Linked DNA regions of Caenorhabditis elegans. The protein of the gene in region 2 binds, or shares a complex with, the protein of the main gene of each other region. Each region holds a gene or a part of one and is shown on either strand. Other genes may lie near its edges.

Region 1 (10,766 bases), on a different chromosome or scaffold from region 2:
CAAAGCTACAGAGACACACATTAATTCGAAATTTTAGTAAATACCAAACGAAATGTACGAAAATTCTCGAATGAGTCGATAGCATTCGAATTAATAAAAATCCAAAACTTAACAAAACAAAACAAATTTTAGAAATAATAAAGAAATAATATTCAAAATAATATTCAGAATCGACATTTCAAAAACAAGCAGGAAATCAAAAAGATTAGTTAAAGACTTTGCTTGCTATAAAAACAGAGGATGTTACAAACTTATTACAATTGTTGTAATTTGATATTCAAAATATTGGTTTAATTCTGCAAATTACTTTATACTTTTTGAAACTCTTGCTTTATACTTCTTTTTTATTGTGCTCAAAATTTATTCTTGATGAGACTTCGAAATGTTTTCTTGTGGTTTTTTTTTTATCTAACAAGTTATGAACTCCATTCTTACCTTTAAACTACGTACATATATTAAATGTCAAAATTGTAAAATTACTACTAAAGCAGTCTGAATTGAAAGAAGTGATAGCGTACTTTTAACATGCAATGTTATGTTTACCTCCTATAAAAGTTAGGTATACATAAACTCCAGTCTACCAAATATTTGGATTAAATCTCAACTTAAACTACTCATTAGGCTTTTAGCATGCTCAACACACTTCTGTAAACTAAAAGGATTTGTAACTTTTTCTAGTATTTTTCTAGTTCTCGTCGGCACCCATGATTATTACAAGAAAAGATGGTTGCACCATACACTTTTTTCTAAAATCATTTCCATTTGGAATAATCTTGTTAAAATGTGTATGTTAGTCTGCATTTTGATTGGTACTTAGAACAACAGACTGTTGATTTTTATTTTTTTAAGTCACCATTTTTATTAAGAATATCCTCTTTAGTAGCCTATTTGACAAAAACCTATAAATAAATAAATACAAAAATTCGAGCCATCTAAAAAGCTGAAAATGGAAGACCACATGTGCGCGAAGAAGAATTTTAGTGATACCCTGTAGAAGTAGATGGGAGTTTGCAGATTTATGATTACCAATTGGTCCAGACAACGATCCTTTCAGTTGACACATAATTTCCAATAATAGCAAGACGAAAATCTGAACTAAATTTCTTAACCAATGTTTGATGTATCTGATTATGTAATAATTGCTGGAACAATTTCAAAATTAAAAATGAGGCAATTTCATCAATCATTTAATTCTCTGTTTACTTTTATACTTCCGATCACATAATTTTTATCAGTTTCGTTATATCTTTCCATTATTCTCTCTTTTTCCACCCATCCGTTTCTATTTAAAAGGAATAGATAAGAAGATTATTCATTCTTTTCATGATGAGAGAGCTTCTAGTTCTTCTCTCACTTTTTGTTTTCTCTGCCTTTGGAGCACAACCGCTGGTTTGCACAAATGGATTCACATTAATTAACAATAAATGTCTACGATTGTTTTCCACGCCGCTTGGTCACACTGCTGCTGAGAGCAAATGTACGGAGTACGGAGCAACCCTGGTGACTGTAAAGAATGCAATTGTAAGTATGCAATTCACTCCCGAGCATCTTAAAAATAGTTTTCCAATGTATTTGTGTGTCTGCTCGGGGTATTCGTCTGTATTGTTCTCCTAGCAACTGTTGACCAGAGGGAAAGTAACTAATTTGCGCGTAAAACAATGTTCTGTAAATTGAATCAACTTACGTTCAAGTTACATTCCAGGATAATCGAGCTATATCAACAATTGCTGCCAGTTCAGTTTCCCTCCTATGGATAGGACTTTACTGTTTTGACAATGACGTGACCAAATGTTTGTGGGATGATTCTACTGGTTCTGCTGAAATGTACAACAGTTTTGCAAGTGGTGAGTTTGATTTTTCTGTTAGATCAAATGTTTCCATATCGCCGTCGAGTGGTTGAAGAAAACGCAAAAGATGTATACTGTTGGTGCACGGTGTACGATAAGAAACTTTCTGAAATTTTGAAATTATTTTAGGTTTTCCACTTGTTGATATCGGAAAGTGTGTTTACTACTCTACACAAGGATCGTTGGCAGGTAAATGGCTGAATGGAAACTGTGAATCGGACCCGAGAGCATTTGTCTGTGAACTGCCAGCTACTCATGCAGGTAAGTAGAAAATTGTTATTTGTATACTATAAAAGTATTCAGACAATTGTACATACAATTACAATGGACATTGTTTCACGCTTCATACGGAACGGAATACTTTTGTGCAAGCTCAGGCAATTTGTGAACAAGAATGTGGAAATCTTGCCTCAATTCATTCTTCTAACGAAAACCGATATTTAAGTTCAATTATGAGTTCAATTATGAACTTATCGAATTCCAGTGTATATATCGGTGCGTCGTGGCCGTCATCGTCTGTATTCAATTGGTTGGATGGCTCTAACTCTGATTACACTAACATTGATCAATCGTTTGGTCATGGAGGAAACTGTGCTCTTTTATCGAATTATCAACCAAGTGTAGTTCCGATGGGTTATTGGTTTAGCTTCCCATGTACTGCCGCTGTGCCTTTTATCTGTAAAAGATCAGCTGGCATCAAATGTTCTGGCACTCCACCACCAGTAACAGTAACCCCGGTTCCTTCCAATCCATCATTTTGCAATTCTACACTTCTGATTGCACCTGGTGTCATTACATCTCCAAATTATCCGAGCAACTACGACAATAATCAATTCTGCTCTTATCATCTATCAACACTCGGATCTTATCGAGTGCTTCTCCATTTTTCAGCGTTTGCCACAGAGGTAAACTTTGATCTCGTTGTGGTCTACAATGGAGAATCAGCTAGTAGTTCACAAATAGGAAGGTATAGTGGAAGTTTGGACCCGTTCAGTGTAGTTTCAACTGGAAACAACATGTTTGTGACATTTAAAACAGATGGAAGTGGTGTTGCTCAAGGTTTCAGTGCTAGATTCACATCTTTCACACTATGATTGTTCTGGATTTATTCAATAATAAAAACTTGATTTTTTCAAAGCTTCTCATAAACCTCTCAATCTCTCATCTCTCAACGCATCAACGCATCAGCATCTGATATTATAAATTGACTGACTCATTCAAAATCTACTCAAAGCACTTCCTCAATTGATATTGGTTTCTCAAAAGATCATCGCTTTCGCGAGCATTTTGAATTCCTTCCAGCGTCGCTCTCGCAATTGAAATGTCATTTTTTAACTATCAAATTCGAATGTATACAAACCTCTTTGCCCTGTTTCTTTTCATGAGTCATCAGTTTTTCTTTTATCTGTTTTCGGAATATTTAGGTTCTAATTTTTCACTTAGGGACATCAAACTACAATTTTAAAGTTGTACTGCTCTGAAAAAACTTTTCAGAAACTCTATAAACATGGATCAGTTTTGGTGAAGTTAAAAAAAGAATAAAGAAGAATGAATGATTAATATTCATTTATCTAAATAGTTATTACAATAGAGCAAATAAAAATATGAATAGATCACGAAAGGGAATTTATAAAAGTCCACCCGGATTGACAGAGGCTGACTATTTTGAAGCGGTTTTGAGAACAATACATTAAATTCAAAAACGGTAACCAATCGATACATTTCATGAATTGTGGAAGGAATTACGGCATTTCGAGTTTGTCATTTTGAGAATATTTATTTTCTTCGTTGTCCACTGCCACTTCCTCCAGTTACTGCTTTCTTTTTGGCAGGTGCGGATCCTCCAAAGAAGTTAGCCATCATTTCACCGACATCTGGCATATCAACTTTTGGCATTTGCATGTTCTCCATTTCTTTTTTGAGTTCGGGATCATTTGCTGTCATTCTGAAAATTTGGAATTTTGCAGATGAGCGATTTAAGAGGAAGCATACTTTGGAAGAATTAGCATGACAACAAGTGGCACAACGAGCATCAAAACCATCGGACTGAACAGCATATCAGTGATTCTCCATTCTTCACGTTTTCTGAAGTAACGAGCAGGACCTCGTGCTGATAAACGGAGTGGATATGGGAGAGTGTTGACATTGTTCGGCTGAAAGTTATGAAGATTGAAAGAAAGTTTCAAATAACTCAGAAGAACTGCTTAAGGGCCTCTTGAGATTTTCTGCACAGAATGTCTATATCTATATTTTCCAAGTTAGAACTTTTATAAAAGATTCGAAGCGAAACAATACGGCTTATTCCTAAAACAGTCATTTTCTCATCTTGTGTCCAAGTTTTTATAACACATTTATACAAATAAAATTTTAGAGAAATATTCGTTTTTCTGCAAATAATTTTACTTTTAATTGAAAATTTATTTTTAAAAATGCCTCAAAGTCGCAATGTGTCAAATGTCAAATGGCGATCGGCATATCGATATTTTTTAGTTAGTTTTGGAGCAGCTTCTGAAAACTTTCAAATGAAAGTAAAATTTTTATCAGAAGTTACAAATATTTCTCTATATTTATATATTAATTTGCAAAAAAAACTACGACGCAGTCATGATAAACAGAGGATTAAAAAAAAATTTTTTCATCACACGTTCGGAGGAGCTACGTCCGATTTTAACCGTTTTCTCCCGGTAGTTAATAATTTACGATCGAAATTGTTTGATTTGTTCCGAAATTCAATATACCTGAAGAATTGTCAATTTTCTAGCTCTCATCTTTCCTTTTGATGTGATATCAACGCGAATTGGCTCAAAGACAAAATCTGTATTTTCGATTTGAACAATATAGGTTCCAGTAGGCACGAAATCAACACGGAATGTACAATCTTGACGAACAAATCCCATATATTGGCCATGGTTCAAATGAATACGAGCACCTGCGGACCATTTTGCACAATTTCGAGTAGATGGAAGTGCGATCTGAAATTTTTTTTTTGAGGACTATGAAATATTTAATTTACAACGAATTTGTTGTTATTAGAATAGGAACCTAGAAGATAAAATTTTAAAAAATGTGAGAACTGGAAAAAGTATTCAGAAGCATATAAACGTTGTCTTAATTTATAATATGACTTCTCTATGAATATAGCCAAAATGATCGATATTTTTAATCCAAAAATCAAACATTTTTGGTATACGAACCTCGCCTTCGACGGAGAATAATGTCGATGTTTGCTCAGTTCTGCTCACTTCTTCTGTTGCACTGCCGAGCACTATCAGGGAGAATAAAAGTAGAATAGACTTCATTTCTGAAATTGATTTGTCAATTTCCAACTTAATAATCATTTTAAAATATTAAAGCTCGTAAATGTTTCACGAGATATTTCAGATCATACATATTGCAAAAATTGAATAAATAATTCATAAAGTCAGTGTGCGGTAAAAAAAATCGATAATCAAAAAGGCAAAATAGGACCTAAAACAGGAAATTTTTGGGAGGGGAGTCATTTTCAGAAACAAAAAGTGAAAAAATTGAGAATAAAGATGATATTTACACAAATTGATCAAAAAACCGTGTTCACATAATAGTTTAAAGTCTTCGGAATTTGAGTGAAAATGAGAAAAATGAATTGGGAATCATGGGGAGAAAATTAATTGAAACGCTTCAAAAATTCTTCAGCAGAAACACGGGCACGGGCGTTGAGAGACAGCTTCATCTCGGAAATTTCCTGGAAATTTATGGAATTTTTTAAAAATTAACTTAAAATGTTCACCTTATCAATTTCCTGCATAAAATGAAGCAAAAAGTCGACAAGTTTGTGCTTGAACATTGCTTCTGTGTGAGATGCTGTGATGAGGAACGAGATGTCATAACCTAAAATTATCGCTTTAATCTCTGAATATTAGTATTAATTCTGACCTGGCAGTGGCTTGCGACGGAGCACAAAGAAGTTATCGGCTCTTTGGCACATGAATCGAGTGAACTTGTGGCACAGAATCTTCTCGATTTCGTCGGATTGTTTGATGGCGATTGATATTCTGACAGAATTGACGGAGGGTTCGATGAGTACTCGTTCCTGTTTGTTTCGAGCAACAACAACTGGCGTCATGAGCAGTTCTTTCGATGTTTGAACTTCCACCTACAATTTTATTATAATATACAAATAGAATAATACATTTAAATAGTTTTTGAGCGAAAAACTATTGCAATTGGCGGCGGACTGATTTAAATTATTCAATCTTCACACTTTGCAAGTCATTTTACTGTTATAAATCTTACTTCTGGTTTGTTGTGTCTCTCGACCACCTGCGAACTGAATTGCTCAAGACAGAGAGCTGCCTGGAGCGTGTGACGCACGGCCTCCAGATATGGTTGGAGTGTTGCGCTCATTACCTGCAATGCGCATGCTTATTGATTTTTTTATTGACGAAACAGTTTGAGACATTATTTAGAAGTGAAAAAAGATTGCATGGAACAAAATAAAACATGAAATACCGGCGAAAATCGTAAAATTGGAGTCGATAATCCGAAAATGAATCATTATTTGCGTCGTTTTGAAAGTAATGCAAACACGCTCCGCTGCACTTTTTGTTTCGAGTAGCGCGCGAAGACAAATTTATCATCCATTCTTTTAAAAATTGTCAATTTTAAAATTAATTTTCTGATTTTCAATCATTCCACTTTCCCATTTTGCAAAATATTTTGCGTTTTCAGTAAAATTTAAAAATTTAAACCTTTCAGAATGACTACTGCCATCCAATATCAAGTTATTCCTTTAGCTGACCGTGAGCACAGCAACAAAGTGGCGTCGATTCTGGAAAACAAGTACAAAACTGCGACAAATAAACGAATCACATTGAATGAGCGCTTCGGAGTTCTCGGTAAATGTTTTCAAGCATTTTTGAATCATAATAACATAGTTGTCTTCCAGAAAAGGGGTACACTATTCAAGCCACTGAGCCAGAGACTGTCAAAAACGATTCTGATGTCTTCTTTGTCGTTCACGACCGGAACTTGAATTCGAAAAAGGAATTTGTGGAGGTAATTATTTAGACTATTCGAACTTTTAATCAAAGCACTGATATTAACACAACTCTTAATGTTTTCCTTAAAAAATGAAACTTTGAGATTTTATGAGAACCTGGTTATGTTTCAGAACTATCTCGCAAAAAATCCAATTGTCAATTCACCGGAGAAAGTTTTCGAAGAGGAGGACAAGGAGAATGCACCGACCAAGAAAGCTGTTTTGAAGCCGTCCTCTACTGATGAGAAGAAGCTCACCAGCTCGGATATCTACATTCAAGAAATCACCAGAAGCATTCTTCAATCCGTTTAATTTTTCCATAAATTGCAAAATTCATTTTCCAAAATTTATGTATTTTTCTCACAATTTTTGAGCAGCCCTTTTCTTCTTTAAGTGTTATAATTTCCCTCGTTTTCCCACACCCATGAACTTCAGTGCAAATTTTCATAATCTTATCCTACGATTTTCTGTGGTATTCCTTCGATAAGTAAATCGTTCAAAGTAAGTGCTTGTTTGATTTTCGTTTGAGCACGCAATAATTTCAAGATTGGCATAAAAAATAACTGAAATGGGAGCAGAAGTAATGGGAGAACGCTATGCTTCAATGCGGGATTTATTGCGCATTTGGTATTGAAACGAAAAGAGTAACATTTAAGTTCAAAGGACAGAGCATATGTGTGTAGGGGTCTCGCCGCGAGAAAAACATATTAAAAATAATCTTCTGTTAACGTAAGAAGACATTTAAACCAAGTATCTTTAATAAATACGATTCCCGCGGCGAGACCCTTTTGTATAAGCGCGTCTCCCTTGAAACTTGTAGAATTTTGCCAAAAATGCACAATAAGTGAATTTTCCAGTGGAATAGTGTCGGAATACAAAAGTGTTGAAAATCCTGATATGTAAACTACTACTACCGGAGCCGAAGCCGCGAGGAAGTCTACCTGAAAGTGAGAAAGAATCTAAAGATCCTCAGTCAATCCCCGAATGAATAATAACCGATCAAAAGAGCATGTGCTACGATCTGAACATCAGATAAAATTTGAAATTTCCTAGGGAAAAGACTGTTCTGAAATATGTGCATTTTAAGCATTCAACCTCTCAATTGGTAAATCGACTGAGTAGCGACTTACAACATGGTGGTGTGATACGGAGGTGCATAAAACACTTGGGAATAGGCTACGGAGAAGCCGAAATTTTTGAGCTGTATGAATTAAAATATTTAGATATGGAAGAATTAAAAAAAATATCAGAATTAGGCAGTTTTTGAGGTAGAAAATTCCATAAACAAATTTACTTTACGAATTTCTTACTGCAATGATATTTTTGAAATATGTCCATTTTTGTAAAAATATGTTGAACTCAAAATATACTTCCCAGTTATGCGCATTTTGAGACCTCCATCTATGAATTGGTAAATCGACTATAGTAAGTCTGAAATTTCTATTCTATGAATTTTTTGATTTTCAATCTTCTTTTATTTAAATCCTAATCCGATGTGACATTTCCTTCAACCCTTTCCTTTTTTTCCAGAAATTGCTCTTCCCAATTGCTTTCTTATTTCTCCTTTACGATGACTACTCGCCACAAACTCGTCATTATCTCGTCATGCTCGACGAGCAGCCCTGGCTATAACCATCAAGCTCGCAGAGCATGTTCTCATTCTTATTTTTGCAGTTCAAATCTTGACTGATCTAAAAAAAATCTTGACTGATCTGTATTTAGGCGGAAAAATGAACTGGAAAATTTTCAAATGGCAATTTCAGCCCTAAATTTGTTTGGTTGTCTAATCTAGACAGTTTTTAAATAGCATAGATCTGGTTCCAACGTTTAAGTTAATATTATATAAATTTATTCTTTCTATTGTCTGAAAAAGTAAGTTTCTTTAAAAATGATGTTGTGATAGGAAAAGCAAATTCGCTGAGTCTCATGATTAAATATGCATATTTCTCAGGAAGATAATATATCAGTATTGCTCTTTGACTCTCTGTCCTTGAATGTAATATCCATGTCTTCACATCTTCTTCTTCTTCTTTTTTTTCCATTTTCCTTTTCAATGCATGTATCAAAACGACATCGTCTCTCATGTCCAAATCAATGACGGTGTATATGTGTGTGCTCTCTGAGGGGCTCTCCGTGCTCCGGGAGAGCTCTTTTTCGTGTCTATGTGCTCCTGCTTTCTCACACCACATCCATACTCTGTGTGTGAGTTTGCTTGTCGTCAGCTCGTCTAGAAGAGGATGGAGCAAGAGAGAAAAGAGCAAAAGCCCCCCTGTCCCTGCTTTCTCTCAGCCAAGAGGGGTAACTAAGAGACGGACTCGCACGCACCCTACATCTAAATCTGCAAGGTTTATCACTTGATTTTCAAATACTAAAGATTATTTTTGTTTATCTTGTGATGCGGCATGACTTTACTCTTATTTAAAATTTCAAAAAAAAATTAAAGCTAGAACAACGTTTTCGCAGTTTTCTGAAATGTCTTCTACCAAATTGCGCAGTTTGTTCAGATGGGTCTCCACGAGAAAAAAATTATAGAAGAATTTTGATCTATCAAGTACCCCAGTTTTCCTTTTAATGGTGTCATTAACTGGCTTTTTTCAAAATAATTTTTGAATTGAAAAATATTAACATTTGCAATGTAACATAAATAGGATAAGATTTGGATTTTACCACAAAAAAAAAGTTGAAAGTAATATGATGGCCAATCTGTGCGAGACTCAGTCACAAGACCTTGGGAACAACTAATTTAAACGATGGAGAATAATCACTGTCGGGCGAGAGGAGGGCGCTCTAATGTCGCCTCAACAAAATGGAATGCCTTCATTCTATACACAAAACAATATTACTAAGAGTAGGCCCGGTCAGAAAAAATTACTAACAAAAACCAATTTTTCATAGTGAAATATTGGCTGAAACCTAATATCCAGGAAATGTTTTTCCTCTTCACAATTTACTAATTGAGTAATAATTCATGATGCACACTTCATTTTTCAATTTTCCTCATATTTCGCATCCTTTTCTATATTTTATTCTTTCATTCTCTCCTTACTTTCCACTTTCTCTCCTTGCATCGTTATTAGAAATTGACCTATTATTTCGCTTTCTCCTTCAACAAATCCTCTCTTGCAAATTTATTCATTTTCTACTTTTGTCGGGTCCAAACAAACCAGTGTCTATGCCAAACTTTTTCAGAGTTTGAGACGATTTCCTTTAATGTTTTTGTTCATCATTCGACTTTGTTTTAAAATGAAATGAAACAATTTCAGATGCAAAAAACAGTATGAGCATAAGTTCGGAAAACGTTGAACAAGAGTATGTTCACTCGATTTACTCTCGATTGGCAACATATCAACAAAAAGTAAGCTTCAATGGTAGTGCTTTTTTTTTTGGAAATTTCTATTAAAACTATGGTTCAAAAACATATTTTTTTAAAACACACATAGTTGGAACAAATTTTAAGTTTTTTTCATTGTCTGGTGATCTAGAAGAAAATCCGAGAATTTGGAGTTAATTATTTCTATAACTCGTATAGTTTCAGCTAGGAAAAATTCATAACAAAGTAGGCATTATAAAGTATCAAAGAAGAAACTCTTTCAGGAACACAAGCCCTCATCTCCACGTATTTGGCCACGTGTCCGTCAATTTGTGGATCAGCAATCTGCAGGAAGTATCATTCTAGATGTTGGATGTGGCGAAGCAAAATACACTTCTCAAAAAAGCCACGTCATCGGCTTTGATACGTGCTCCGAAGTTCTTAGTTCGAGTAAAAAAGATGATATTGACTTGTGTTTGGCGGATGCAATAAATATTCCAATTAGGTTTCTTTTTGTATTTTTTTAGAGAATACAATGTTTTATTTTCAGAGACGATAGTGTAGATGCAATTTTAAACGTGTCTGTGATTCA
Region 2 (11,200 bases):
TTTGGTGGCAAACCCGTAAATTTAATCATTTTAGAATTTTTTTGGTTTTTTTTGTTATTTGTTCCGTTGTTTTTAATAATTGCAATGTCAATATTTTTGAAAATAATCATTTTTAAACATTATTTCGACATAAAATTCAAAAAAAATACTGAAAGCGTTTAAAACGGATCTGCTGCCAATACCTATGTAATGAGACTCAAACTAAAGGGGCGGAGCATGTGACCGTGGAGCGCGATTGCATCTCGATTTCTTAAGACGCAACTTGCAAAAATTTTTAAATTTCCGACCAATCGGTAAACCAGCAATTTGGCGACAATTAAAATTTCCGGCAATTGCCGCCCACACGTGGTGTCAGAAAGTCTCATCGCGGTTTGATCTACAAAAATGCGGAATTTTTTCCCAGAAAAATTGTGACGTCAGCACACTCTTAACCATGCGAAATCAGTTGAGATGTCTACGATTTCCTCCCGCATTTTTTGTAGATCAAAGCGAAATGGGACTTTCTGACTCCACGTAATAAAAAACACGACTGTTTTTCGTAGAATTGTTCGCGAGAACAAGTTGTGAACAATACGAAAATCTTCAGGGAACTGAGAGAGAAAGAGGCAAGTGAAACTAGAAAAAAAGTATGGTGCATCAAGAAAAGTGAGAAGCCGAAAAAGAAGAAGAAGATCCACTTCTTCTTCTATTTTCTCTTCTTTTTTTGAGTCGACGACTCACTTGTCTGTGTGTGTTGCTGCTCTGACAGGCATAATTTAATAACGTATTACACAAGAGGATCCCCCTCCCGTAGACAATGAGGCAAGGGGGGGCAAAAAAGAGTACCGAGTAGGAAGCTAATCTGTTGGAAGTTGTTGTGTGTTCCAGTGAAAATCTGATATAACTTAGTTCCTCTTATGGGCTCTTGCGCGAAAAAGTGCAATCGAGGTGCAAACGCGCTCCACGGCCAAACGACGAGTTTGTGGCCCCTTCAAACACGCGGTGTCAGGTTGTCCCATTACGGGTTGATCTACAGAAAATGCGGGAATTTTTCGCGTAAAAAAATGTGACGTCAGCATGTTCTTAATCATGCGAAATCAGTTGAGAACTCTGCGTCTCAACTCCCGCATTTTCGCAGATCTAAGTAGATCAAACCGAAATGGGGCACTGTGACACCAGGTGTTCAAAAGTGCGTGCATGGTCTCGTCACGCGCCTCAAAAATCTATGAATGGCGCGTGTCAAGACGATCGCGCGTAAATGCGCCCCTTCAAAGTCGTAGAGATGGAAAAAATGCGCTGTATATGATAATAACCTTTTTTCGCGTAAAAATAATCGAAAAACTACTGAAAATAATTGAAAACGTTCGAATTTAATGTTTTACCGCCAATTTTTTGTTGTACCCGGTTTTTTGGCCGTGGAGCACCTTGAATTTTATGAACGATTTTCGAGTTTTTGAACTCGATAAATTTTTAATTTCACTCGACTTATTTTTTTTACCAAAAAATAAGTTTAAAAATCCATAGAAAACTTAAAAATTCAGTAGAAAATCTGAGAAATATGAATTTTCCAGTCTCCGTTATAGACACTGGTCGCGGCTGAATTTGAGAAAAGCCGGAGGCACAGGAATTTGAATTTTTCATTGGTTTAGATTTAAAAAAACATAATTCGAAATCGATGTGGAAACGCGCTCCACGGAAAATTGGCAAAGCTCCGCCCCCAAACCATAGGTCTCGTTAGGCATGTGGCGGCAAAACTGTGAATTCAAATGTTTCGCCAATTTTCAAATACCGTATTTCCTCTATTAGTCTTGCACCCCTACGGACCAATCGAAAATTAGTCTTGCAGCCTCTATTAGTATTGCATGCAAGACTATTAGAGAGCATACGGTAATAGTCTTGCACCCCTATTCTTGCCAGACCAGCAGTATTTTGTGAAAACTTCAAAAATTTCGCCATTTTTTAGCCAAATTAAGTTTTAAAGTGTTCAAATAATTGATAAAACAATAGAAAAGTATGTATTTTGCACGATTTAGACAGTTTCAAGTCAAATTTTTGACGATAAATTATCAATTTTACAAAGCTATTGGATCTTCGAAAATTAGTCTTGCAGCCTCTAATAGTCTTGCAGTCTCTATTAGTCTTGCACCCCTACGGGTCAATTGAAAATTAGTCTTGCATGCAAGACTAATAGAGGGAATACGGTATTTTCGTTGTTTTTATTGAATTTTACGTCGAAAAAAGTATTAAGAACTTAAAAATTAAAAAAAAAACTAGTTTTCGTTTTTTGGAGCGTTTTCAATAGCTCGTGGAGCGCGATTTCACCAGAGATCTTTTTACAGCGTTTCCATATAACGTGGAATTCCTCATTGTTATGCGAACAATTTAAGACGCTTAAATAGGAAATGATAACATAATTATTTTGTCGAAATATATAAGAAGAGTCTGAAAAAATTGAGCTTCCGACTCTTTTTTGCCGCAAAAAAAGTTTACTTTTTTCCAGTAAACTTTTTGTGCCGCACACCTCTATTCTGCAAACAAACTATAGAATTTCAAATGCTGTGGGCTTCGCGTGTGTGAGTGGAAATGAAAATAAATAAATACATACTAAAAAGTGATAATCACATCAAAATTTAGTTCCTACCGCTGCGACACTGAGAAGTTGTCAAAATTTAAGATTTTAGCTGAAAATATACCATTTTCCGAGCGGTCATAACTTTTTTTTTTGAGAAATTTTCAGAACATCTCATTACGAAATTAGTTTTGGAACATTTTGGGTCCCAAAAAGCCAAGTCTCGAATTTCGGTGATCCTCCTTTAAGTCTGTGGAACTACTGAAAACTAGCAAAAAACGATGATTGTTAGGAGAATAATGCGGCTACGAAAATGTTGTGTGTATGTGTGTGTGGGGGCGTGGCGCTCTCCGAAGACTTTACGTGGACGACGTGGTAATTATGACGGTCAGAAGGCGGACAAGAGTGCGAGAGACGCAGAGAAGAGAAGCCCAACAGCCGTCGCCGAAAAAATAGACAAAGTATTCGTGACTATGGCTCACCGCCAACACTCTAAAACGGGAAAATCGATGTGGTGGAGAGGAGGAGGAGACGGAGGAGAGAGAGAAATACAGCGAAAGAAGTCGTCGTCGGAGGGCCCCCGACGTCGTCTGACGGCGGGGTGTCAGACGCAGTAGGTTAGACGAATGGCGCCTCGGGGCAACGCTTGCTGCGTCTCTGCGATTCGGAGAACTGTCTGGCCACCTTTTTACGGGACGATGGGCAGGGAAAACAAGGCAAAGTGAGAGAGAGAGAGAGAGATATGTGCGACGAGTTGAGGCACACAGAGAGGGAAAAGGCGCCCAGCGGCAGCAGCAGCAACACCCAGACCGATATATTTATATGTGCATGTTGTGGAGGCTGCTGCTGTATGTGTCTGTGTGTATGCTCACAAGAGCTCGAGACACCGGGACGGCTCATGAATTCCTGACGACGACGGCGACGCTGAATGCGGCAGAAGGAGAAAAGAAAACGGAGACGCACTCGTGGATAAATTGGAGAAATTGAGAACCACAGGCTGTAAACAATGCACATTTTTTGGGAAAACTCAGATTATCGACTGCAATCTGGAAAATAAATTTTTGAATTTTAAACCTGAAAATATAATTTTTTAGCCTGAATTCCCTGAAAGAGCTCAATTTCTGTGCGAATAACGAGTTTTCAGCGATTAATTTCATTATTTTACCGAATTTTCAATAAAATTTGAAAAATTTTACCTAAACAACTCGATTTTTATTTTAATACAAAAATAATTTTCATATTTTCCGCTGTTTTGTTTAAAGGGGGGCGCAATTCCGCAGACAAGATACTTCGCAACGACAAAAACTACGGTTACACTCGTTTTGCGTGTGTCTGGTGTTTGAATTTCAGGATTCGCGCCTTTCTTTCCATTTCTTCATTTTCCAAGGTTTTTCGGGGAAATCGCTCTTTTTTTTTTCACTTTTACGATTAAAAAACAGCTAGAATGTTTAAAAACTACTAGGAATTTCATGGGAAACGAATCATTTGATGATTTTTCGTCGAAGTTGAGCTGAATTCATTTTCTACTTTGTTTTATTGTTTTCCAAGCTTTAATATCAATTTATTGTGCCCGATGTTACCAATTACACTTGAAAAATCTAAAAAGCTTGGAAACTAGCCGAAAATGTGCAGTAAAACAAAATTTCCTATAAAATCCGAGTTATTTGAACCAAATTCATACTCTTCTCTATTTTATCGTTTTCCGAGCTCTAATCGTATATAATATTACCTATTTTCAGCTAAATGAGCACATCCGTAGCGGAAAACAAAGCATTGTCAGCTTCCGGCGATGTGAATGCGTCCGATGCTTCAGTTCCTCCAGAGCTTCTCACCAGACACCCCCTCCAGAATCGCTGGGCTCTCTGGTACTTGAAAGCTGACCGTAACAAGGAATGGGAGGATTGTCTGAAGGTAGAAGATTTTTAAATACGTCTTTTATCGATTTTTTCCAGATGGTTTCACTTTTCGACACTGTCGAGGACTTCTGGTCGCTGTACAATCACATTCAGTCTGCCGGAGGATTGAACTGGGGATCCGATTATTACTTGTTCAAGGAAGGAATCAAGCCAATGTGGGAGGACGTCAACAACGTTCAAGGTGGACGTTGGTTGGTTGTTGTCGATAAGCAAGTACGTTTTGAGAAATATATTTTATTCAATGAATCATAGAAGCTTCAGAGAAGAACGCAATTGCTCGATCACTACTGGTTGGAGCTGTTGATGGCTATTGTTGGAGAGCAATTCGACGAGTACGGAGACTACATCTGCGGAGCTGTCGTGAATGTTCGTCAAAAGGGTGACAAGGTTTCCTTGTGGACTCGTGATGCTACTCGCGATGATGTCAATCTTCGCATCGGACAGGTTTTGAAGCAGAAATTGAGCATTCCGGATACTGAGATTTTGAGGTAATTTTACAATTTTAGTATTTGCTATCTAAGTAAAATATTTCCAGATACGAAGTTCACAAGGACTCGTCGGCTCGCACCTCATCGACTGTCAAGCCACGCATATGTCTTCCAGCCAAGGATCCAGCACCAGTGAAGGAAAAGGGACCAGCCGCAACGACTTCTCCATCGAATCCCGGCACGGAGGCTACAGGAACTTCTCCAGCCACCCCAACTCCTTAAGCATATTCTAAAGATCTCACCAATTCCTCTCACCGTAAATGAGCTTCCCCGTACTCCCAGTCTCAATGTTGTCTTGAAAAATGAACTGTTTTTCGGACACGATCATCGCTTTAACTATTCGAAAATCAGCTCATTTTTCAAGTCGTACCCCCCACCTAATGTATTGGTGCTTCCCCTCCAATTTGTACCTACTGTTTCGCTTCCCCCTATTGATTTACCGGTTTTCGTATTGCTCTCTTGTTGTTACTAGATTCGAGACTGATCGACGCCTGTAGCCGAATTCGTTTGTTCTTCAGGTTAATTGATGAATATATATTTATTCGGTAAATATAAATAGATATGTTAGTTATTATTCTTCTTCACACACATGATTTGTAGGGCGTTTGATTTTGTACATTTTTAAAAATTGATTCTATTCTTGTTTTCAGGCAGACTTCTCCGATGTCTTTACAGTTTTTGCAGGCTTTGCCGTAGTCGATGTGTTCGAGCTAGACGAAGGAGCTGCGGCAACAGTCTTCTTGGTTGGCTTCCTAGCTTTCCGAGGTTTCCGTGTGCTCGTCGTGCTCGGCGAGCCGGTAGTGGTCTTTTTGTTTGCTTTGGCCGCATCGTCGTGTTGATAGGAATCAACATCCCGCGACATAATTCCCATCGGAGAGCCAATTCCTCGGTTCCAGTGATTCGAAGCAATGTTCATGTTGTAATCTATGGGAATTCCTCCTCCACGTGATGGGATCTGTGGTCCACTGCCGCCATAAAGCATACGCTCAAGTTGGGAATCATGGCTTCCGAATCGTTCGCGAAGATATGCGGGACCATAGCGTGACGCATAGGTGGCAAGCTCGCGAAGTGATGGGATCGCGGAATTTGTAGCTCCATTGAAACTGTTCATCAGGTCGTTAGATGCGTAATCAGCTGGAAAATAGCGGATTTTAAAGAATTTTATAGCGCATAGAAAAATCGTATACTTACGTGGATACTCAGTCTGTGGAATTTTCGTCTTCCTGGAGCTCATAGGCGGCACAACGGCACCCCGTCTCATACCAACAGTGCTCCCGTAGTACCCAGATCGACTTCCTCCGACCAGTCCGGAAAATGGAGCGGCCGGCCGGATATTGTACTCTTCTAGACCCCCAGGATATGGGGAACCTCCACCAAGATTCACTGTGCCATATGGATTCGGATTACGGTCACCGTAGAGGCCACCTATTTGTGGGGGTGGCGGGGATCCCGTGTTCCGATAGCCCATTCTGTTTGATCCATAACCGGCTTTATAGGCCATTCTACTGAAAGGAACACGAACTCCGAATGGGGCATTTATGTTTCGTCGTCGGAATGTGGTGACTTTCTTTCGATAAATTGAATCACCGGAATCAACGTCGGATTCTTCGTCTGGGGAACCTGGAAATGCACTTTTTTATTATGTTTTTGCATTTTACAGCGCCAAATGAGCTCCAATTTACATAAAATAAGGATTTTGCCCAGTTTTCAAATGAGATGCGACAGTTCGCGATTTGTTTCGCAAGATTACGATACCAGGTCTCGAGACGATCAAACAAAATAATTTATGGAAAAGAGTGTGCGCCTTTAGGGAGTACTGTAGTTTCGATTTTTCTTGTTCTTTTTTCGGTTTCACGTGTATTCAGCTCGACCCATGCCTCGAAAAGAGCTATTAGAAAAATACACGTGCTGTTTGACAAGTTTTCCAAAAATCAACTTTTTTAAAAGCAGAAATCACGGCCTCTCTTCATTTCAATAATTAAATAAAATAACGTGATGAACTGTCTCTGCGTCTCTCATGGGCGAGAGAGTGAGTTTTTTGAACCGATTTTGCACTGATTACGGAAGAACGAACTATAAACGGCGGATAGTGAAGAAAATTAAACAAAAATTGTTAGACTGATAGATCAGGCAAGTAGCGTCTGAATGAAACCAAAAACAGCGTGGAAGCGTATCAATGAACTCATCCATTCGTGAAAATCCTAAACTAGGGGTTTTTTGGTCATAATTGGCGAAATCGGGCGATTCGCTGATAAATCTTCAGATTTTCCAACAATAAACAAACAACTGAATATTACCTCATCAAATTCGACCAAAAAATCCAAATTTATAACATTAACTATGCTCTTGTAGGGCAAAATGTGAGACCTAGTCGAAAAATTGGTTTTTTACGGGATCCCTGGGGAAGAATGGAAACGAAATTTTAAAAAGTACCGCCTTACGATTGTAGAGAATTTTTTTCCGGTCATTTTTTGACATTGCACAAAAATTTTCGATAAAAACTGGCTCCGGAATTTCAAAAACAAGAATTAGGCCTGAAAACACCAAAAATGGGCCATTTTTGAATGGTTAACGCAATTTTACTAAAAAACGATGACATTTATCAAAAAACTACCGCCTTACGATTTTTACAAATTGTTCAATGAAGATATCAAGACATTAATGCCGTGATTTGGTTAAAAATTGACTGAGTAATTTCACTTTTAGGACATTGTGGTTTATAGTGGTTTTTGATTGGTTTTGTTTGGAAGCCCGTAGCTCAATAACTAAAGAAGCTATCAAAAAACTGTCAACTAAAGAAATAATCCTCATAAAACGATTAAAACTTACAGTTTAAATACATTTCAGTTTTTCTGATGGCTGCAGAGTTATGATATCACTAAGCGCCCAATCTTAAATTTCGGAGAAAAAAATCTTGCGAGGAGATTAAACTAATTTTTTTCAACCAATTATATTGGCATTTGGTAGGTAGGTGAATGACAATGGTTTTTTATAGTAAAAACAGTTTAGGCTTACTGGAGCCTGTTTTACTTGTGTTTTATGGCGCTTAGCTTTTTTGCGTTACAATATAGTTGTACTCGTTTCAGTTAGATAGTTAGATTTATCTAACGATAGAACGTATTTAGACCAAGAGATTGACAAAATTGAAGTTTTGCTTTAACAGTTCCTTGAATAAATAAAGAGTGTTTTTCCTAATGAAACTGATGAAATAATGAGTCACTCCGAAACTTCATCTCCTTGTCTGTCATTTAATTCCATATTTGAGAAAGCATCACACGTCAGAACAAGGAATCGAACATTTCTTTGCAGTTTTTAACAATATGAAAACTTTCTACGCTCCAGTTCGCAGCCTGGAGGACAGAGCTCTTCTCAAGATCGTGTATCATGAATTCTATTTCAATAAAATTTGATTTAATTAAACACAAATTATTATTCAGAAAGTAATATTTCACGTGAGAGAGTGAGAGAGCAGAGAGAAAAAGATGAATTTTGAAAAACGTGAAATTTAGAGAGGCCGTGAGAAATGGGAAAATCACGGAATTCTGGCCTCCCTCATAAATCGAAATGGCAGAGTTTGCCGAACTAGGCCATTTTGAGTCTGCGAGATTTTGTGTAGGTTTACGGCGCGTTGCGTGTCGCGTCGCGGCTCGTTTTTAGTTGTAAAACCGATGGATTTGTCCGTGTGGAGTACACTACACTTTTCCACGCGTTGTCCGGCAGGCGATTGCCAATGGAGCGCGAAAATTCAATGAGAAAGGCGAGAATCCCGTGAAAATCAATAAACAATCGTTTGCCACGTCGAGACCCGGTGTTGTATTATTGCGTCGTAAACCTTTAAATGGGGTATTATACAGACGCGAAATGTTCCGATTTTTGCGCCGAAAATACGATATAAGGTCACGACGATTTTTTGTTAAATGGGAAAAATATGTGTGCCTTTGAAAAGAACTGTAATACCAAATAAAAGCATTTTCATAGACTTTACTCTTTAAAGGTGCGCATCCATTTTGCATTTAACGAAACAATTTGCATTTCGTTGTCGATTTTTCCAATTTTTTGCAAAATTCACAAAATATCAGATTTCAGAAGAAAACCCTACTCTAAAAAATTTATAATTATTAATTTCTGATCCACTTACCTTCCTCATCTCCATCGGCCGGTATAATAGTGTCCGGAGGAACTGGATAACCACCGTTTCCAGAAATTATCGAATTTGTGAGATCTTCTGTCGGAAGATATCCGAACACACCAGTCGTTAGTGTAGACAGAATACACATTAATGGAATAGAACCCACGTCGGTACGCATCTGGAATATCAAAAAATACAACTGAATAGCTTAGAGGTTCAATGGTAGGCAGGCGCGGTTTCAGGGCCTACCGCCTGCCTAAATCCTGCCCGCATCACGCCGCCTTTCGTCTCTTTTTGCATCGAAACGTGAGTTATCAAATTTCAAATTTTCTCATTTGTATCAATTTGATGAAAATCAAATTAACTATAAGAAGTCGATGGAAATATGGGAATAATTAGGAAAATTCTGAAACGATTTTGGAAAAATCGAGAATCTTCTGGAAAACTTGAAAAATTGAAGGTTTTCCGGAAATTTTCTGAAAACTTTCTGAAAAGATTTGGCATTTATAGATAATTTGAGAAACTTTAGTAAAATCCTGTAAAACATCAGAAACTTCTATAAATTCCTTCAAACTCTGAAAAACTTCAGGAGAACTCTCAGTTAGATCTAAAAACGTTCGGTGGACTGAATATATTTATGGAATTTTTTGGAAAAATTGGTACTTTTGGAATGTTTTTTTTTGCATTTTTTGGAAAGTTTGAGAAACTTTGAAAAATCCCTTGACAAAATTGGGAACTTGCAAACTTCTAAATACTCTAATAACTCTGGAATGTGCTGGATTTTCTTGATAAACTGTCAGGTATTTTTTTAAAATTGAAATGAAAAACCTGTCTGTAATGAAAAACCTATCTGTATCAGCCATATTGAGCACATTTAAGAATATTTTTCTCTCGAAATGCTATCGCTTTTGCCAGTATAACTACCGTATTTCCTCTATTAGTCTTGCAGCCTCTATTAGTCTTGCACCCCTATTTGTCTTGCACCCCTACGGGTCAATTGAAAATTAGTCTTGCATGCAAGACTAATAGAGGAAATACGGTAAGTAGAAGTATATGACAGGAAACCCACTGAACATAACATATTTCTTGAACTAAAATATTTTTTGTCAATAAAAAATAACCTTAATTAAATTTAGAAAAGTCTGAACCAAACTACTGTAAATTTTTTGTAGTGGGACCAAAGGCCTTACTTCTAAGTTTATTTTAAAGGTGTATACCATTTTAAATGTGCAAATTTGAAACAAACCTCGGTAGGACAGTAACCAATGTATGATGACGTAGGTACAAAAGAAGAAGAAGAAGCAGAAGAAGCTACACCTATGGAACCAATATTGAGATGTCTTGTGATGAAGGATAAACAGCTAATAAGATGGGAGGAGGTCCTAATAGCGTCTTTCTGACTGAACACAAACACAATCCCGGCCACCAAAATGTTTTATCACAACACGCCCGACGACAGCTTTGACATGAAATTTCGGGGCCTCGTCAATCCTCGAGACCGTTTCACTAGAGGAGAGTTCCGTGAGCTCGTTTTTGACACACGAGTCATCAGAGAGGGGTGTTTGTGTTGCCATTCTTCTTGAAAAAAAAATTAATGGGGATACCTATTAGGGATGCGCAGCTAACTATAGGACTTGTGAAAAACTTGATGTACTTTGTACCACGTTGGATTGTTTTGACGGTTTATGAGATTAGTGACCCAAATGGTCAGACAGTGAACCCAATCTTTGGTAGATCAAATAAACTAAAAAGCAAACAAGGTTCTTTGCAAGTACACAATTACTATTCAGTTTTCAAACTTTCAAATCGAATTATCTTACGGAAAAATTGGCATTTTTTCAAATGTTTTTTAGCGCTTTCAATGAACATTTTCAGCTCTCTCTGACACGGTGTGGATTTTTCAACGAAAAATCACAAAAAAAACCATGTACCAAGAATTCATTCATTTTTAACCATAGCGTGCAAAGTCAACTTTTTTTTGAGTTTTTCATTGAGTCGCTGTATTATAACAGCCACATTTTAGCTTCGTTTAAGTTTTAAATTATAATTTTTCAGATTATCAGTGTTGATAACATTTTCAAGAAAAACATAAATAAACAAGAACAACGCATTTTGTATC
Region 3 (11,013 bases), on a different chromosome or scaffold from region 2:
CAATGGCACGATTTGAATTGGTTTATTGATTCCAGAGACTAGTTTCAGTTTTTGATAAGAATGAATTATTATTCATTTTCTAGTTTATGAATATATATGTAACTAGGGAAGCCTATTTATGATTTTTCTAATTTTTTAAAATTGTTATTTTAGAGAGGTGTGAAATTAAAATGATATATATTTTCGAGTACTTTAAAAAATAAAAACGGTACATCCTATATTAAATTTTTGATTTTAGATCCTTCCAAGTTATTGACAAGTATTAACTGCACTTCTCATAAAAATTTTTCAAATAGATCTATTTAGTCTGGAATAGGAATACTTTTGGCAATTTTCTTGAGAATCATAGAAGACGAATTTCTGAACTGCTCTTTGTGAAGCCACGCCCATATATTGGCATTTTTGTATCCAATTTTTTGTAGAGTACCTGAATCATTATCACTACATCTGCTAAACAATATATGGAAGTTCTATGAGAGGTGAAAGGTAAATCATATAACAACTGTAATAACATAGAAATGATTGTAGTATATTTCCAATTAGGCTGAGTTGATCTTATTGAAGAGTTTGAATCATAGCAATTTTTTCCTCTTTTAGTATTTTTCAAAACAAATTTTCACAATGTTAGATGTAGTATTTAGCATTAAGGCATCTGTAATCTCCCAGAAATGTTTTGGGAATAAAACCCTTTGACTCTTTGGTCCTTTTTTGCTCCAAATAATATCTGATTTTAACCCGTTCTGATCTACTTTTTACCTTTCGATCGTCACATCCGCGTACACGTTTCTCTTGCTCTCAATTGCTTATCTTTATGGCCTTTTCCCCCACTTTTTGTCGACTATCATGCGGACGTGGCTTCCTTGCTCCCTCCCGGTTTTTTTGAAAACACTTGTGAATTTATTTTTTGTGGTCAAAATTACGAAACATTTGAATTCTCAATCTATTTATAGACCGGGTGTGGTATGTTATGCCATGTTTTTGTCATTGCCAAATGAACATCGATATTTTAATTTTCTGAACTTACCGTACCCCCTGCGTTACTATTTTATTTTTAATTTGTATAATTTCATTGCTATAATTTGTTGTCCTTGAAACATTGAAGATATCGAAGAAATAATGACAAAAATCAGATAGAACAATTTTTCCTACTCATCAACTCACATTTTTCTATTTTCTCTTGTGCGAAAAAAATAGTATATTGGGAATATTTATAGTATTGCAACTTTTCTCTTAGTTCGCAGAGTTGCAATACTACTAGATCCCTAATAGAGGAAATATGGTGACCAGCTTTTTGCAATTGGAAAGTTGGGAAAAAAGTATATATATTAATAGACTTACACTCTTGTAGTTCGTAGAATTTTTCAGGAAATCTGACACGCAAGACTTTTTCAAAAAGTTTTTTTTTTTAATTTGGCAATCTGCCAAAACGTTTACTGAACATTTTGAAAACATCTACCAGTACCTTTAACACAACGAAAAATTGTTCTAAGCAATATTAACTGTGATAATTGATGTTAAGACCTGAAATTTAATCACAAATTTCACCTGGAAATGACAGTAATCGGCTTCTAAATACTGTCGACACAAGTGCCATACCTAAGATTCCAATCCTATTACCATGTTTCCCAATTTCATTCTCTTTCGTATCTCTATTTCTCTTCTTTATTATCAATTACTTTTTATCAGTTCTTCGTTTGCTTTAACATCAAGAGCACATAGCGCTCTCTCGTCTCTCTCTCATGCTCTTTTTGAACTTTTACAAAAAACTATTTCCGGTTGTTTTGATTCTTGGAATTTGAAATAATTTTCAGTGATTAAATCATGTCTCTTCTCCGGAGGCCTTGGGTGCTCGTCGTTGGACTTTTATTGATTATGAGCTATGTTGGAGCAGAATGTGAAGAAGAAGAAAAAGAATATCCATCTAGATATCCAATTGCTTATTTTGAATGGGAGAATGTCAAGATTCCAATGACTATTTGTTTATGGTTGATTGGAGCATCGATTGCGAAAATTAGTACGTAGCTGCCACTTTGGGATGCTCAGGAAATTAAACTGCTAATTGAATCAGGGAATTGAAGAGTTGACACTTAAAAAGACTTGTTTCGATAATTGGCATTTTCGGTCTATCATAAATTAAATATAATCTTACAAAGAATATATGTTTTGAGATCAAAATTATTCTGAAAAATTGTAAATCTGTTTGTTTGATAATCAACTTTCCAAGTCTTTCGAAGAAAACTTGAATGTCCTGGAAGAAAAAGAATAAACAATAGTTATTACAATATTAAAAAGACAGTCTAAAAATTGTCAATTTTTCAGTTTTCAACTTGATTCCACATCTCAATGAACTTTTCCCGGATTCCGCGTTACTCATCATGATTGGTTTAATTATTGGAATCATTTTCAAATTGATCGGAGTCAATAAAAATGCATTTTTCCTGGAAAGTGAAGTATTCATGCTTTATCTACTTCCGCCACTTGTTTTTGATGCCGGATACTTTATGCCTGCAAGACAGTTTTTCGATAATTTTGGATCAATTCTTTGTTTTGCAATGATTGGAACTTCATTCAATATTGTCGCAATTGGTTAGTTTTAATATTTTCACAACTAATATATTTATGTACAAAGTAAAACAACATGACTATGAATTTTCAAACTCCAATTAAAAATAATGATAATTTTGTAGCTTGTAACTTCAAAAATAGTAACCTCAAAGGACATTAGCAATTTTAGTGATAAGATAACAATTTGAAATAGTCTAGAAAAGTTTTGAATATCTTTGAAACCGTTATGCCTAGTTAAAGATAAATTTGGAAATAAATCTAATAATTTACAGCTCTCTCCTTATGGGCCATCAGTTTGACTGGATTATTCTCAGTTGAAACTCCACTTATGCATATGCTTCTCTTCGGTTCAGTTGCTGCTGATGTAGATCCAGTTGCTGTAATTGTCATTTTCGAGGAATTGAAAGTGAGACAGTCTCCCAAATTTCTCTGATAACAAAGTCAAAGTTTACAGGTCAACGAAGTTCTTTTTATTGCCGTGTTCGGAGAATCTCTATTGAACGACGGAGTTGCTGTTGTACTTTATCGAATGTTCTTGACCTTCTCTGAAATTGGAACTGAGAATCTGATAACATCTGATTATATCAATGGAGGTGTTTCTTTCCTGGTTGTTGCATTTGGTGGAATTGGAATTGGTCTTCTTTTTGCATTTTTGACAAGTCTTGTTACAAGATTTGCTAGAGATGAAGAGGTCAAAGTGCTCAATTCTGTATTTATTCTCATTCTTCCGTACACTTGTTATCTTTGTGGAGAACTTTTCGGTCTTTCAAGTATTATGGCGTAAGTTAATTTATTTCAGAATTTCTTTTTTATATTGAAACTTTAGCCCTACTCATATTTTCATATTAAATTTTGTATTAAAAATCGGAATTTTAAAATGTAAACTTAAGGTCTAGAGATTGAAGATACTAATATGAAAAGTTTTGGCAAAAACCGTAATTCTCTTCCAGAGCTGTAAAACTGAAACAAAATATAACTAGAACTAATTTTCAATAAAATTTTTGCAGAATTGTATTTTGTGGTGCTGCCATGCGTCAGTACTGCCGTGAAAATGTGGACCCAGACACGGTAAAAGCCACAGAATCATTCATCAAAGTGCTTTCTCTTGCATCGGAAACAGTTATCTTTGTCTTTTTGGGACTCTCAACAGTATCCTCAAACCATCACTGGGACACATCTTTCATCGTTCTTACTGTAGTTTTCTGCTTGATCTACCGTACCCTTGGAGTTGTTGTTATGTGCTATTTCTTGAATAAGTATCGTCTGAATAAGTACACAAAGGTGAGAATTAATTTGTGTTATTTGATAAAAAAAAGTATATGTTTCATACAGGTAGACCAATTTATCATGGCTTATGGAGGTCTTCGTGGTGCCATTGCATACGGTCTTGTCGTTGCAATTCCAGATTTTATACCCGGAAAGAATATGTTTGTCACCAGTTGTATCATTGTCATCTACTTCACTGTATTCCTCCAGGTATCTTTTTAAACAATCTAGCTATATTTTATACCCGTGATGTTTTTAAAAAACATACCTTACTATTACTTTTCAGCATTTCATTTACATAGCCTTCTAATGTGCCTAGTTAAATTTTGAAAAAAAATCTGGATTATTTCCAATACTTCTAAAATAGATTTTTAACATTTTCAGGGAATTACACTGAAACCAATTGCCGAATTCCTACAAGTTGAGAAAAAGAATGTTCACTCAAAGAACATGATTGAGCATATTTACAGCGAAGTGAGTTTTCAGAACCAAAATTCCAGTGAAATGAAAATTATAGCTTATCGACACGACTATGGCTGGAATGGAAGACATTGCCGGTTTCAAGGGGCATCATTGGATTCGTGATTCGTGGAATGCACTCAACAATAATTATTTGAGACCAATTTTAGTTAATAAGAACAATATGAAGGAGATGGATAAGACTAAATTGGTCAGAAAGTACAAGGTATGGTAATACGCTTAATGATATTGTTATTCATAATTAATTTACAGCATTTGGTTGATGAAGATGCAAAGAAGATTGCACGTGGAGATTTAAATAGTAATATGGTATTTACAAAAGCTCTTATTGAACATACAAGAAGTCGAACAAATACAATGATGTAAGTTTCTTCAAACTTCTGAAATCAATTATTCCAAATACTTTCAGCGATGGAGTAAGTTCGACTAGTAAAATAGATTTCACCAAACACATGAAAGAGAATTTTGGAGTAACAGTCTATGATGATCATAGTACTGTACCTATGACACCAACTCATTTATTCCAAGAAACAACTGAAGTTGAATATTCGGTTCGGAGCGAAATCAACGACAATGATGGATTTGAAAACGATGGGTATGAATCGGACGAATCAGGAAGCTTCCACGAAAGAGTATAGGTTTTTTACCTTAATTTACAATTTCTTTCTGTTTTAAACTAGTCTCAAATAGGTAGACTGTGTTTTCTCAATAATGTACATTCATCGAATGAAATTTCTTTTTTTTCTGCATCTATATTCTCATATATTTTGTTAACGTTAATTAACAAGCTAAAAAAAAAGATTTTTACAAGTTTTTTAATTGCGCGCTACCGTAACAAGTTTTTTCGCTTCGAGACCCATGCCTTCAAAATGGACATGTGTCTTTAAAACTTACAGTAACGGTGTTAAAATTATTGCACACAATTTCTTCGGCTGACATTCGAATTTTCCAATTATGTCGGCTAAAAGGGAGTTTTCGCATATTACTTTGGCATCCACACCATTTAAAGTGAGTTTTATCATTTTTTCAGAATTAATAACAATAAAACTTTTTTTCAGAAAAGAATCGATCAGAATTCGTTAAAAACCGACTCGGATATTGAAAAAGACACAAATATCGCACACAAATGCGCTGAACGGTTCAACTACAATACAAATCTTCACAGAAAAGTAATAATCTATTAATGTTGATGACGAAAGCTTTTTTTAATTTTAGGTGACGTTGAGCGATCGTTTCGAGTTGGCAGCCCTTGGATACGAAATGAAAGCAAAGCCGAGAACAATCATCGAAAAACATAATGACTGCGACGAGTTTCATTTTATCTATAGGTTTGTGAAGTACCCACATATTATAACAAATGTTTTAATTTTCAGAAAAGAAAAGAAGAATGATTATGGAACTGGCTCACCACTTTCAGCCGGATTGAGCCTATCTAATCCGGTAAGAAATAAATATTAAATTCACGCATAAAATTATATCATTTTCAGTTGCCAGCTGGACGTGGATTCCTCTCTCCAGCGATTCAGAATACCAGCAACCAGTTCACCTTTTCTGGAAGTCCAAGAATTACCCCCCAGAAGCACACCCCAGTATCGGCCAATCACAAGCCAGCCAGATCCATTTTCGACGACATTCCTTCGAATATTGCATAAGTTTTCACTGTTAATTTACTGTTTTTACTGTTTCATCTTGTTTTGAGTTTATAAAAATGATGTTTCGTTGAATTCAAAAATTTTATAAATTACATTTTAAAAATAACGACATAAAGTTAAAGTTCTCGATCTTCAGTTCCACTCTCATCCGAAGACCTCCAGTTCATCGTTTCTATTTTCACTTTCACAAACATTTCCGAGTTATCAACACCAGCATTCAGTCTATAATCTTCTTCTAGATTAACTGGCTTATCGTAGATGTTAAAGCTTTTTCCTTTTCCATATGTCGTGATCGCCGTCTCTCGTAATTGTTGTTTCCTTTTAGCCCAGGCAATCCACTTCTCCTTTTCACGTTCACTCAAATGATTTTCCAGTTGAACCAGAAGCTCTTCGAATTTGTTCGTGTCCGTGATAATTTCGTTCGGCTCAATAATTTTCCTTTTCTCCATTATTTCCAAAATCATCAGAATTCGATCTTCTTCGTCACCTTCTGCATCGTCAATTATTTCTTTGATCGCTTTATGAACTGCTTCAAAATACTCCAATTCTCGTTCATCAGCTTTTCTTGCCTCAAGTGCCATGTTCTTCGTTCTTCCTTTCCATTTTGTTTCTCCTAAACCAGTCAGTACTGCAATCGGAAGACCTTCTTTTTCATATTTTCCTTGATCTTCATTCATCTCTTTTGCATTCTTTCTTGACTCTTTTCTTCTCAACCAACTTTGTCCTGAGAACTCACTATCCGATTCGTTCTTTTGAATGGATCTCGTCAATGCTCCAAGCTTCCGTCTCCAATTAATTGTTTTTCGATTTGCTCGGTATTCTTTCATTTCCTTTTTCCTTTTTTCTCCCATCACATCCCGTCCATCCAGACGATTTTTAACCAGAATTCTCCTCTTCCACGTCATCACATCAGGTTCTTCATCTGAAGATTTTTCGTCCAAATAAGCTGTTGGGTCAGTTTTGAGATGAATGTCCAATTCTTTTATTTTTCTCCATCGAGTGAAATTCAGGGATTTCAGGAAGATGATCACAACATCTATCATCACATAGCAAACAAATATCAAAATTGACGCCAATACACAGAGGCTCACAATTATTTCCACGAATGTGCATTTTTCTTCGTATTCTTCAAATAAAGTGTCCATTTCAACTGAAACGAATAACCTATTCATTTGATTTTTGAATTTAAACTTACTGTTGGCGCAGTCAGAATATATATGCTTCATCTTGAAAGCTTGTACCACTTTACGAAGTTTTTGAACTTCCCAGCATAGTTGAGGCGTTCTAATCATCCGAATCTTTCCATTAACAGCTCGCAGCGATAATGAAGTTCTTCTCAGATATGGATTGTTTTCAAATATGAGATCACCATCAATGTATTTCAGATTTTTGATTAATTCACAGAAGTCTGATCTTAAATTTTTGATGATCACATTCCCAAGAACTCGTTTCACTTTTCGAAGTCCCGATGCCATTCTCAATACACCACCAGCACTTCCATCAATTACAAGATCTCCTTCCACAACTTCACAATCGTCGAGTTGATGGGATAATTCGGGCCAAACCACCAAATTTTCCAGAATACCCAACGCATTCTGAAAGCCAAATACATATGTATAAATTTATACAATATTCTAAAACTCAATTCTTACTTTTTCCAATTCTATTGATAGCTATGTCATTTAGGTCATCGTGCTCCTGCTGAAATTATTTATTATCAGCAATTTATGAGAGACTTTCAAAAAGATTTAACTAACCATCCACTCAGATTCTGAATATCTTGGAAGTCTTTTCTTATCACCAACAACGGCTACAAATTTCAAACATTGATCGTCTTTTTTCTTCATCTTTAGTAGCTCCACATGTTCAAATTTCTGATTGTATCCATCTATTCTTACAGCTGACAACCTTCTCCTATCAGTTTCATTCCACACGGGGCCACATTCAACTTCTTCTAGACGCGGAAAACTATCCAAATTGGAAACAGTAGAAGTATCATGGATCCAAAGTTGACCATCTTGAATTTTACGAATCGAATTATATTTGCAAAGGCTCTTTTGTTCTGGTGATCCAGTAATTTCAACTGTTCCTCGGTGTAACTGACAGTTCTTCCAAATTGTCGTAGACGTTGTCCCTGGTCCACACTCACAGTTTCGAGATGTTGCCACTGTGAATCTACCCAAAACACGTCGAAGAACATTTGAAACTCTCCTTTCCTCACAGTCAAGACCACTATTGTTTCGAAAATAGAATATTGGAATCTGAATATAGAGTTGTTATATGAAAAACATACAATTTTACAGATCATGCCAACTAATTACAGCACTATTTTTGTTCACTTTTTATGTAAGACTTGGTTTTTCAATAATTAAACTTACAGTATACTTCGTGTTTGCCAAAGATGTATAATTTCTTCTGGTCTTTTGTAGATATGGGAATGGCATAAAAGTTGATATACATCCGATTACAGCAACTTCTGGATATTCAGCCGATCCATCAATATTACCAATTTCTCTGACATCAGAATATCCCAATTGAAGAAACCATTTCTCTAATCTTTCCAAGTGTTCATCCAGTGCAAAGTATCGAATTCTTGCGTAACGTACAATATCACCTTTATGAAATTTGATATCATCTCGATTCGTAACGTAATCAAAGGGCTGTCTTCCATCTAATATTAATACTTTCTCTTGTTTTGGACAATTGTCAAGTATTTGAAGAGCAACTATCCCAAATTTCTCGTACAGTTCGATTTTCTTTGAAATGTGCAGACAATCTTCTTTTTGCAAGTTCAAGACAAATGGAGCTGATCGTTTGAAATTCTCTCTGTTGTAGTGAATTTGACGAAGCTCCTCTAATAATAGAACACCACTTGGATCCGTGTTTTCAAATAAAAGGCATCCATTTTCATACACTGAAAATTGTTCACTATTAGTCTTGTGCCCTCACTGCTCATTCAACTTCAACACCTCATATCTCGCATGTCATTGTTTTTATCAAAAACCGTTTACTTTTAAAAATAAGTATTCGAAATTGTTTTAATAAAGCCAAAGACAGCCAAGATAAAAACTCTCAAAATGAGACAAAGGAGGTGCTAGAGAGAGTACTGTAGCTGTTTTGCAACATTTTGGCATTTTGTCATCTATCCCGAACTGCCTACAAAACGTACTAACCTATTTGTTCACTACAAATATCCCTGATCCAATTCAAACGGAGTGGCTTAACAACTTTCTCTCTGAGAGTTTCAATGTTTTTCCCAAATCCTTGAATTTTTATGTATGCTACAAAGACGTCTGACGTGTAGTTGAGATCACTTCGAAACTTTAAATCAAAATAATTGATATCAATATTTGAAACATCGAAATTCCAATATCTCCATCGACAATTGTGATCTATTCGAACTGCAAACGATCCCAACTTGTCAATTAGCTTCACATATTTGGGTAAAAAGTTATGATCCTCGTAAAAAGAGCATTCGTATTCTTGAGTATCAATATGAACTGCATCTCTAACCAAATCAGAATTGAATCGTAATTCTTCAATAGGAAACCATCCGTCATGATTATTGATCAGTTTAATTTTCACTTTTGGTTCTTCCTGGTCTGAAAGTTCATAATCTAGTAAACATTGATACATCAAAAAGTTTACCTGGAAAATCGAAAAAATGTCTTTTGAGATCCAACTTGGCGCCTCGAACCAATCTGTGATGCCATACGTCTTTCACATTCTCCGGACTTTTGAAATTCAATAGAGTCAGCTTTTTAAGTATCTTGCCACTGAAAAAAGTAATGTATACAATTGAGGTTACATTAAAAACTAGATTTTAGAGATCATTGAAATGGTAGGGTTTTGCCTCAAAGTGCTCTTTTCAATAATTATATTAAGAAGCTATCCGTGTATATTCTTCATGTTTTAGCAATGTTTCAAGAAACAAAACAAGCTTGCAATTTCTTGCTAATTGAATTAGAATTGGAAACTCTGAACACACAACACACGGTGTAGATCATATGAACATAAAACATCCATTAAAAATTATGTAGTGCCAGTGGGATCTTTGTTAAGATAGTATTTCAATGGTTTGGCAAATTGCCAAATTAAAAAAAAGGTTAGACTTTCTTGAGACGATATGATCGTGGTGAGACTCTTTCAGAAAATATCATGTTCCTTTAAAGTGAAGTGCCAAATCTTCACGAAATCACAATACCTTCTTGTGATAAAATTCCGAATCGACCAAATATTGTCCCAATTAACAGTGAATTCTCGATTATTCCGTCCATTCGGAAGTCTTCTAAACTCTTTCAAAGGAAGAATCGCTCTCTTCTCAAAGTTATGTGAAAACTCTTTGGTAATTTGTCGCTTCCTTCGTAACTCAAATTCTGAAGTTAAACTATAGAAAAATTAAATTAAATGAAAACTAACCATTTTCCGTTTGAAAAGTTTCCATATTTTCGTTTGGTCGATAAAAGGCAACGCATAGAAAGACGATACCGAGCAACAAAATTATCCATTTCATATTTATGCGTATTTTGTATTGATTAAATAATATCAATAAGTAGAAATGAGGAAAATTTCGTGGATTTCTCTATGAACCAAAACAAATATATATTTCTAAAAAAAAGTGAGATTAAGAAGTCACGTCGAAAGATTTTTCTTGGAAACTATGATCAATTAGTATCATTTTTATTGTAGGGGAAAACATTTTAAGCCGCTCTTCTAGTGCCAAAATTTCCAAATATCGTTGTAAAGCATAAAATGTTTATCATAATTTTGGAAGTCGACCAAATATTGTTTTTTCTACAAGTTTTATACTTTATTGCGTGGGCTTAGAACTTACCAAAATGTTCGCAATTTCTGAATGAAACCAGATTTTTGGAACATTTTGCAATTTACCAAAACTTTAACTGGAAATTGTTTGAATATTATGAGTGCATGTAGACTTAATCCCAACTGGCTATATTCCATCTTTAATATTCCCAGCACGACAACGTTAGTGTTTCTAATTGGGTTTTTGTATTTTCATAGAAAGCCCTCGACACACACGATTTGTATT

The links.
Region 1: ife-3 (region 2) and tost-1 share a complex: the UniProt entries of both Caenorhabditis elegans proteins name them as parts of the tost-1 variant of the PETISCO complex.
Region 3: ife-3 (region 2) and pid-1 share a complex: the UniProt entries of both Caenorhabditis elegans proteins name them as parts of the pid-1 variant of the PETISCO complex.

What each region holds. Positions count from the first base shown.
Region 1 is NC_003281.10:4,874,127-4,884,892, reverse strand, and holds tost-1 (Protein tost-1), read left to right. Parts: upstream 1-6,581; 5' UTR 6,582-6,582; coding exon 6,583-6,721; intron 6,722-6,771; coding exon 6,772-6,881; intron 6,882-6,996; coding exon 6,997-7,176; 3' UTR 7,177-7,367; downstream 7,368-10,766. Other genes in the region: clec-5 (Deleted in malignant brain tumors 1 protein-like), read left to right, coding at 1,327-1,521, 1,703-1,844, 1,977-2,108, 2,151-2,941; C35D10.1 (ER membrane protein complex subunit 7 homolog), read right to left, coding at 3,624-3,792, 3,840-4,000, 4,586-4,819, 5,042-5,146; arx-6 (putative actin-related protein 2/3 complex subunit 4), read right to left, coding at 5,491-5,568, 5,614-5,714, 5,760-5,979, 6,120-6,230; C35D10.12 (Methyltransferase type 11 domain-containing protein), read left to right, coding at 10,142-10,219, 10,459-10,679, 10,725-10,766. UniProt on the Caenorhabditis elegans protein: Component of the tost-1 variant of the PETISCO complex which plays an essential role in embryogenesis. Within the complex acts as an adapter which binds to the complex via erh-2.
Region 2 is NC_003283.11:910-12,109, reverse strand, and holds ife-3 (Eukaryotic translation initiation factor 4E-3), read left to right. Parts: upstream 1-4,280; 5' UTR 4,281-4,291; coding exon 4,292-4,459; intron 4,460-4,500; coding exon 4,501-4,677; intron 4,678-4,716; coding exon 4,717-4,952; intron 4,953-4,999; coding exon 5,000-5,174; 3' UTR 5,175-5,522; downstream 5,523-11,200. Other genes in the region: B0348.10 (uncharacterized protein), read left to right, coding at 3,371-3,535; idpp-2 (Intrinsically Disordered Protein, expressed in Pharynx), read right to left, coding at 5,599-6,086, 6,144-6,572, 9,091-9,259. UniProt on the Caenorhabditis elegans protein: Recognizes and binds the 7-methylguanosine-containing mRNA cap during an early step in the initiation of protein synthesis and facilitates ribosome binding by inducing the unwinding of the mRNAs secondary structures.
Region 3 is NC_003280.10:7,684,756-7,695,768, reverse strand, and holds pid-1 (Protein pid-1), read left to right. Parts: upstream 1-5,212; 5' UTR 5,213-5,265; coding exon 5,266-5,319; intron 5,320-5,369; coding exon 5,370-5,480; intron 5,481-5,526; coding exon 5,527-5,639; intron 5,640-5,684; coding exon 5,685-5,751; intron 5,752-5,798; coding exon 5,799-5,963; 3' UTR 5,964-6,079; downstream 6,080-11,013. Other genes in the region: nhx-2 (Na(+)/H(+) exchanger protein 2), read left to right, coding at 1,822-2,014, 2,320-2,586, 2,838-2,971, 3,020-3,345, 3,573-3,846, 3,898-4,041, 4,216-4,305, 4,349-4,516 and 2 more; F18A1.1 (Receptor L-domain domain-containing protein), read right to left, coding at 6,080-7,113, 7,159-7,558, 7,721-8,224, 8,342-8,877, 9,137-9,565, 9,612-9,739, 10,168-10,339, 10,383-10,476. UniProt on the Caenorhabditis elegans protein: Component of the pid-1 variant of the PETISCO complex which is required for the biogenesis of a class of 21 nucleotide PIWI-interacting RNAs (piRNAs) that possess a uracil residue at the 5'-end (also called 21U-RNAs).